Diceros bicornis minor: one gene and its partner. The protein of the gene in region 1 interacts with the protein of each later gene in a pairwise test. Links are inferred from orthologs where the notes say so. Each region holds a gene or a part of one and is shown on either strand. Other genes may lie near its edges.

What was found. The genes of interacting proteins can lie anywhere in the genome.
Region 2: the proteins of VASP (region 1) and TRIM9 interact in binary tests that used the Homo sapiens proteins (3 or more experiments, as listed by UniProt). The two-hybrid records come from large-scale screens. The link is inferred for Diceros bicornis minor from reciprocal best matches to the Homo sapiens genes VASP and TRIM9.

What each region holds. Positions count from the first base shown.
Region 1 is NC_080773.1:19,741,650-19,745,392, forward strand, and holds the start of VASP (vasodilator-stimulated phosphoprotein), read left to right. Parts: upstream 1-1,194; 5' UTR 1,195-1,916; coding exon 1,917-1,921; intron 1,922-3,743. UniProt on the Homo sapiens protein: Ena/VASP proteins are actin-associated proteins involved in a range of processes dependent on cytoskeleton remodeling and cell polarity such as axon guidance, lamellipodial and filopodial dynamics, platelet activation and cell migration.
Region 2 is NC_080744.1:1,168,221-1,171,963, forward strand, and holds the start of TRIM9 (E3 ubiquitin-protein ligase TRIM9), read left to right. Parts: upstream 1-928; 5' UTR 929-1,013; coding exon 1,014-1,835; intron 1,836-3,743. UniProt on the Homo sapiens protein: E3 ubiquitin-protein ligase which ubiquitinates itself in cooperation with an E2 enzyme UBE2D2/UBC4 and serves as a targeting signal for proteasomal degradation.

The sequences.
Region 1 (3,743 bases):
TTTCCAATTTCTTGTTGTCACCTCATTGCTGCCATAAAGATCCTTCATCAGGCTTCTTGTGTACATATAAGAATGGTTTTTACATTTTTAAAGGGTTGGGGGGAAAAAGGGCAAAAGAGACCCTATGCATAACATGCCTAAAATATTTACTATCTGGACCTTTATAGAAGAAGTTGGTTGACTGCAAGGCAAGTGGCACACAGAAGCGCCACCCCTCCCATTTCACCCGTGGGAAAGCTTTGACCCAGAGAGGAGAAGGGACTTGTCCTCTCACGGCCTGAGGAGACACCCAGAAAAATAATTATAACCTAGGTGGATCAGGATTCACGATCTCTCAGTAGGATAGAAGGGGACAGGATTACTCAATTCTTCAGAGAAGAATGAACGTCAGAGCATGGTCTAGAAGGATGAGGGAAAGGTCAGAGGCATCCGGGCGGAGGACCCTGCTTGGACAAAGGCTGGGAAGCTTGATTGCCTCACTTAGTAGCTGGGCCCTGAGAATTGGTGGTTTTACACTCCCACCTTGCACTCAAGCGCTACTGGGGTTCTGGGGGCTCAGGCAAGGGGGCTATAGCCCATATTTATTCCCTCTCTCCTGGCCTCAGTTTACCTATTTGTAAATGTCTAACAAGATTTCCTAAACTCCTGCCCCTGGCTAGGGCACCTTACGCGGGCCAGGTGGCGCTCTACGGGAGGGGTGTGACCACATGCGTGACGTCACGTGGGGCGTGGCCTGCGGGACCCGCTGCGGAAGCCTCGGAGGGTGTCAGGGCTCAGCGGGTAGCCGGCGCGTGGGGGAGGGGGCTCCCAGGAGCTGGCACTAGGGAGGGTCTCGTCGCCTCGGTGCCCTCCCATTGCTGGATGATCCCGCCATGCTCCGCGGGCGAAACTGAGTCACGGCGGGGCGTGCGTGGGGAGGGGGCCAGGGGCTTTATCCACACGGGGACCTGGAGTCCCACCCCCACCCAGGTCCAGCACCGCCCCCACCCCCTCCCGCCCCCACCCTGCGGCTGTGAGTCAGCGGCCGGCCGCGCCCCCTCGGCCCACTTCCTCCTCACCTTCCCGGGCCGGGCGGGGGGCAGTGAGCGGGAGGGGGCCCTCCTCGCCCATCCCCCACCTGTGCAGGGGAGGGGGCTCACCCCTGAGTAACCCCTCCTAAATTGGCGGAGATGAGAGACCTTGGGGGGCGGGGTCCGACGGGAGGATTTAAGGGAGAAAATTGGAGAGACTATGCTACACCAGAGGGTCCTCCTTGCCCCCCTGCTAAATGAGCAGAATGTAAAGAAATGCAGAAGTCGATAGGGAGGTGGGGAGGGTGAGAACAAATTGTGACCCCATTGAGATCCTCCTAGGAATTTCCCCGGTGGGAGGGAACGAGAGATCAAGGAAGGATCCCTTCCCCTCCACCAAGCTCCCCCTCTAATGTGGGGGCGAGCCCCAGCGTGCACCCCTATGCAATAGTGTTGGGGCAGGGGCAAATAGCGGAAGGCTGGGGTTCCGCGTTGCCCTTTTAAGCGCCCTCCAGCCTCCCACCCCGCCGCCTGGAGGTGTCGACGGCCCCTTTAAGACGCAGGGCATTGTGGGTGCGGGGAGTGGAATTTTGGAACGAAATGTAGCGAAGAGAAGTACAGTAGTAAGAGTAACGTTGTAGCCGCCGCCGGCCGAGGAGGCGCGCCGGGGAGGGGACGCCGCACCCCCTTTCTGCCGCAGGGACCCCCCCATCACACCCCCAGAGGGAGGAGGCGCCCGAGGACCCGCCCCGGCCCACGTTCCCCCCAGGAAGCCGGACTCTATGGGGCGGGACCCTGGGGGAGACTGAGCAGAGCCTGGAGCCAGCCCCGAACCCCTGAACCTCAAGCCCGGGGCGCCCCGGGAGCAGCCAGCCCGTGGGCGCGCCGCCCGCCCGCCGAGCAGCCATGAGGTGAGCCTGGATCTGCCCCCAGCCCCTTCCCCGCCCGGCGCGGGCTCCCCGCCCCGCCTTTGTCCCCCTCCCCCCCAGCTTGCTCCGGGCTCGAATTTGGGGACAGGGCATGGGGAGCCTCGGATCTGAGGTCGAGCCCCCTGGGACGAGCTCCAAATACTGGCCGCTTCCCCGTGACTCCCCAGGCTCGGGGTGGTGCCGGTGAGCTTCTCCTGGGAGCCCTCGGATTTGGGGGCGCTCCGAGGACTCTCGGATTTTTTTCAAGACTTTTTCAGAGGACCTCCAAGTTGGCAGCTACTCCCCGCTGGGAGGCCAGGGTTCAGGCAGGGCTCAGACTCGCCTCCAAATCTCAACTCGGGCTCCGGGAGGGATTGTAGGGGGCCGGTTTGGGGGTCCTGGAAGAGAGATTGAGACGTAGAGCTTGGTTTGCGGGGTGCCCCTTTACGTGGTGCTGGGAAAAGTCTTCCCAAGTGGGACCTCGCTCCTGAACTTCGGGGGTACTTAACCCTCTCAATTTGGGGGTGCTCTCGTCCTCCTGGAAGAGGTTGGTGCCGACGGATCCAGGGACTCAGACGCAGCCTGGAGGGTCTGGTGGGACCCCCCTCCCCCACTGCTCCCCACCCACGATCTGCTGAGACGGGCTGTGCCTAGGACTGAGCGAGCGCTCCGTGCGGAGGGCGGCGCCCCGGCCACGGGCCAGCAGGGCGGCCCTCTCCCCCACCTGCCCGGCCCTGGGGAGGGAAGGGGCGCGGCAGCTGGGGGAATGGGGGCCTTTGTCTTCCTGACTCACCTGTCGAGACAGCTGGTGTTTGGGGGGCGGGCAAGGAGCGCTGTGGGCCGGCTGCTCTCCCCACCACGGCGCCTCCCCCTTCTCTCACCACCGCCCCCCCACCCTAGCCATCCGGAGCTGTGGGGTTGGAGGAGGGGCGCTGGAAGGCTTCAAGGTCATAGCCCTCTCCCCCTGGGACCCAGGCTTCCCAGATAGTTCCAGCTCTCTTCCCAGGAATTGAACACTGGGGGTGGGGGACCCAAGGATTTTGTCTTGGGTCCCTCAAAAGTCCTGGGCTCACCTGAGGGCGGGGCCCGTGCGGACTGGGGGACCGGACTAGGCCCCCCCATTCTCCCCTCTCACTGACCCCCCATAATCTCTCCCTTGAGGCCTGAGCCTGACAATACTATCTCCCTTCCTCCACTCTCTCAGGGACTTCCTGCCCCAAAGCCCCCAGCTTGAGGGGGGAGGCCCCTGGAGACCGATAGGGATTAACCCCGTGGTGCCCACATCCTCCCACTTCCCCATTCCCCCTACCCCTGCCATCTGACATCAAGGTGGCCTGCCTTTTTATGACTGTCAGAGAATCCCCTTCCCCCATTTGTTCCTTCTGATGTGAAAGGAAGTGTTGGAAAATTGGGAGCAAGGGGCACCCACAGACACCCTCAAGACTTCCTGCCTACCCTTTTCTCATACAGCAACATGCCTTCAAGGTCTGCCCTGGAGAGGGGGCCGTGGTCAGGAGCCTCTTCCTTCACCCTCTTCCCCGGGGACTCTCCTCTCCCACTGCCCCCCAGCCCTGCCCCTCGCCCCCCTCTCCCCGCGTTTCCGGTCCCAGGCACCGCGGTGGAAGGCGGATGGCGGATGTCCGAGCGAGGGCTGCCTCACTCGGAGACCGTAAAAGGGCAGGAGCAATGTCTGGGCCGGCCTCCCACCCCCCTCCAGCCTCGAGGCCCTGGCCCTCCCACAGGGCCCCCCTACTGCTGGCCGGGCGGAACCTCCCACCTCCTGGGGGGTGGCAGAAGTTGCTGATGCCTGTCCCATCAGAGGGTT
Region 2 (3,743 bases), on another chromosome or scaffold:
AGGGTCGGGGAGTGTCCGGGGAGAGGGTCGGGGAGAGGGTCGGGGAGGAGGTCGGGGGGAGTGTCCGGGGAGAGGGTCGGGGAGGGGGTCCGGGGAGGGGGTCGGGGGGGAGTGTCCGGGGAGAGGGTCGGGGAGGGCGTCCGGGGAGGGGGTCGGGGGGAGTGTCCGGGGAGAGGGTCGGGGAGGGGGTCCGGGGAGGGGGTCCGGGGAGGGGGTCGGGGGGAGTGTCCGGGGGGAGGGTCGGGGAGTGTCCGGGGAGAGGGTCGGGGAGAGGGTCGGGGAGGAGGTCGGGGGGAGTGTCCGGGGAGAGGGTCGGGGAGGGGGTCCGGGGAGGGGGTCGGGGGGAGGGTCGGGGAGGGGGTCCGGGGAGGGGGTCGGGGGGAGTGTCCGGGGAGGGGATCGGGGCGAGGGTCCGGGGAGAGGCCTGGGGAGGTAGTCCGAGGGGAGGGTCCGGGGGGAGTGCCGGGGAGAGGGTCGGGGAGGGGGTCCGAGGGGAAGGTCCAGGGAGAGGATCAGGGGAGGGGCTCCGGGGGAGGTCTGAGGAGAGGGTCCTGCGGGAGGGTGGGGGGGAGGGGGCTCCGGGCCGCGCGGCCGCCCGGAGATCTCGGCCGGAGCCCCTCGTGAGGGCGGGCTCCTCACGCCCCGCTCGCGGTGACGGCGCCAGGGTCGCCGGAAACGGGGCGACGATGAGTCCTCCCTCCTAGAGACCCGCCTCCCCCGAACCCGCCACCGGAACGCAGACGCCCCTCACCCGGAGTCACCCGGAGTCCCCGCCAGCCCCCTGGGCCTGCGCGGGAGAGAAGGACGGCGCGTGAGGCCAATGAGAGCCTGCGCGCCCGCCCGCCGTCCAATCGGCGGCTGCGCAGGGCGGGGCCGGGCGGGCGGCGAGCGGGCGGCGGGGTGCGGGCCCTCGCAGAGCCGGAGAGAGCGAGCGGCAGAGCGCGGTGCGGGAGGGGACGCGGGAGGCGCCGGGAAGGCCCGCCGAGGCTGCCCAGCCGGAGGCCGCCGGCCCGATGGAGGAGATGGAGGAAGAGCTCAAGTGCCCGGTGTGCGGCTCCTTCTACCGCGAGCCCATCCTGCTGCCCTGCTCGCACAACCTGTGCCAGGCGTGCGCCCGCAACATCCTGGTGCAGACGCCCGAGGCCGAGTCCCCGCGCAGCCGGCGCGCCTCGGGCTCCGGCGCCTCCGACTACGACTACCTGGACCTGGACAAGATGAGCCTCTACAGCGAGGCGGACAGCGGCTACGGCTCCTACGGCGGCTTCGCCAGCGCGCCCACCACGCCGAGCCAGAAGTCCCCCAACGGCGTGCGCGTCTTCCCGCCCGCCGTGCCGCCGCCCGCCGCCCACCTGTCGCCCGCGCTGGCCCCGGTGCCCCGCAACTCGTGCATCACCTGCCCGCAGTGCCACCGCAGCCTGGTGCTGGACGACCGGGGGCTGCGCGGCTTCCCCAAGAACCGCGTGCTGGAGGGCGTCATCGACCGCTACCAGCAGAGCAAGGCCGCGGCGCTCAAGTGCCAGCTCTGCGAGAAGGCGCCCAAGGAGGCTACCGTCATGTGCGAGCAGTGCGACGTCTTCTACTGCGACCCGTGCCGCCTGCGCTGCCACCCGCCGCGCGGGCCGCTGGCCAAGCACCGGCTGGTGCCCCCGGCGCAGGGCCGCGTGAGCCGGCGGCTGAGCCCGCGCAAGGTGTCCACCTGCACGGACCACGAGCTGGAGAACCTCAGCATGTACTGCGTGCAGTGCAAGGTGCCGGTGTGCTACCAGTGCCTGGAGGAGGGCAAGCACTCCAGCCACGAGGTCAAGGCTCTGGGGGCCATGTGGAAGCTGCACAAGGTGAGCTGCGGCCGGTCCGCGCGCTGCGCCCCCGCCGGGCCCGGTCCCCGCCCGCTGCAGTGCGGGGAGCGCGGGGGCGTCGAGCGTCCCCCAGAGCGGCTGCGGGCTGCCTCGGGGCGGGGCTGCGCCCCGGCGTGCGGGAGGGCGCTGCTCCCCGGGCCGAGCGGGCGCGGGCCCCGGCGGGCGGGGGAGTCTCAGCGGGGGCGCCGGGCGGGGACGGGAGGCCCGCGGGCGCAGTGCCGAAGATCGATCGGGGACGCGGTCCCGGCCGGGCGCTCCGGGCGGAGCGGCGGGCGCGGTGGGGGTCGCCGCACCAGCCGGCGTGAAGGGGTCCCGGTCTGAACGCCAGGCGAGTGTGTCCCCCGGGTGACCCCCCTCCAGCCGCCCACGCGCCCGTGTGTCCAGGGTTCAACCCCTGTCTCCCAGTAGCGTCTGCGAACTGTGGCACACCCGTTACCAACCTTGTCTTCCTGGTCTCTCGTTGGCACCTCCACCAAAGCCGCTTCAAGGAGAGAGCCTTCAACAACGTGTCAGGTCCTGCCACTCCTCTGCTCAAAACCCTCCAGTGGCCCCCAAGTTTCTTAGACTGTCCTGAGAATAGGCCACCAGCACCTCCACGACCTGTTCCCCTTTGACCTCATCGATCTCATTTCCTCCCACTCTGTTCCTGTGCTGCAGCCACACCAGCACCTTTCAGCTCCAGGGCCTTTGCATCTGGTGTTCATGCAGCTTGAGACGCTTCCCGATACCCTGTATCAGGATGGCTCACTCCTGCCTTCTTCAGATCGTGGCTCAGATGTCGTCTTTGCAGTGAGACCCTTCTGACCACAGTTGCTGCTTCGCATCTCAGACACCTCTTGGTTTGCTCCCTGCTTTGTTTTTCTCAGTAGTCCTCAGCACTAACTGGCATGCTATATATTTTAATTATCACGTTACTTTTGTGTTTATCTATTGCTACCCCCCGACACACACACACAAAATAAGCTTCATGAGGAAAGAGATCTTTATAGCATTATGCCCACGCTGCTCAGAAGGAAGGGAACCACTCTTGAGATGTGCATAAATTTGACTTTTACTTTTCAAATAATCCACTTACCTCGGGGTGTGAAGGGCAGGGCAGGGGTTCAGCACCATTGTAGGGAGGTTTTCTTCACTCACTGGGTCACAAGCCCAGGGATGAGGCAGGGAGGTAAGGACGGTGCTCAGGCCTCAGCTGCGCCCGGCTCAGGGTCCCCCAGCATTCCTTGGAGACTAGAAAGGCTGGCCTTTGAGAGGCCATTGATACTTTATTTACAGCAAGAAAGAAAAAAATCACCATTTTCAGCAATCGAGGAGGTTTTCTCAACTCAGTATTAATTGGATGTGATCAGTGTTTACAATCATTTGTGTTCTCACATATAAGCCGTTAAACCACGTTAGTCCTGATGGAGATTTAATTCAGCACAAATTTGAGTTCCATAAGGCACACGCCACTATTTTTAAAACACTTGAATTTAAATTTTTTTAAATGACATTTAATTTTGAAAGTTTTCAAAACTTCAGTTCACAGCCAGCTTTTTCTTCCTATTATGATTTCACTCTTAAACTGCTAATTATAGCTTTTGTTGAATTGCCCTACAAAACTATCCTTGGAACTAAGAAATGAATCACCCTGCCTGGAAAAAGAACTGAGAGTCACAGGCTAATTAGGATGGTCAAACCACAGCATTATTTTTCTGTGAAGAAGAGCCTATACGTTATCCATTAAGACCAAAAGCAACCTTTAAATCTCTGTCCAGCTCATGTAGATTTGAAATGTTAAACCATTTGTTTTCTCAGTAATGGAAGTTGTGAGTTGAGACTGTGGTGAGGACTGGGTTGAAATTTGGATGTCTGCTAAAAAAGAATAATGTTCGGGCCCTTGGAGAC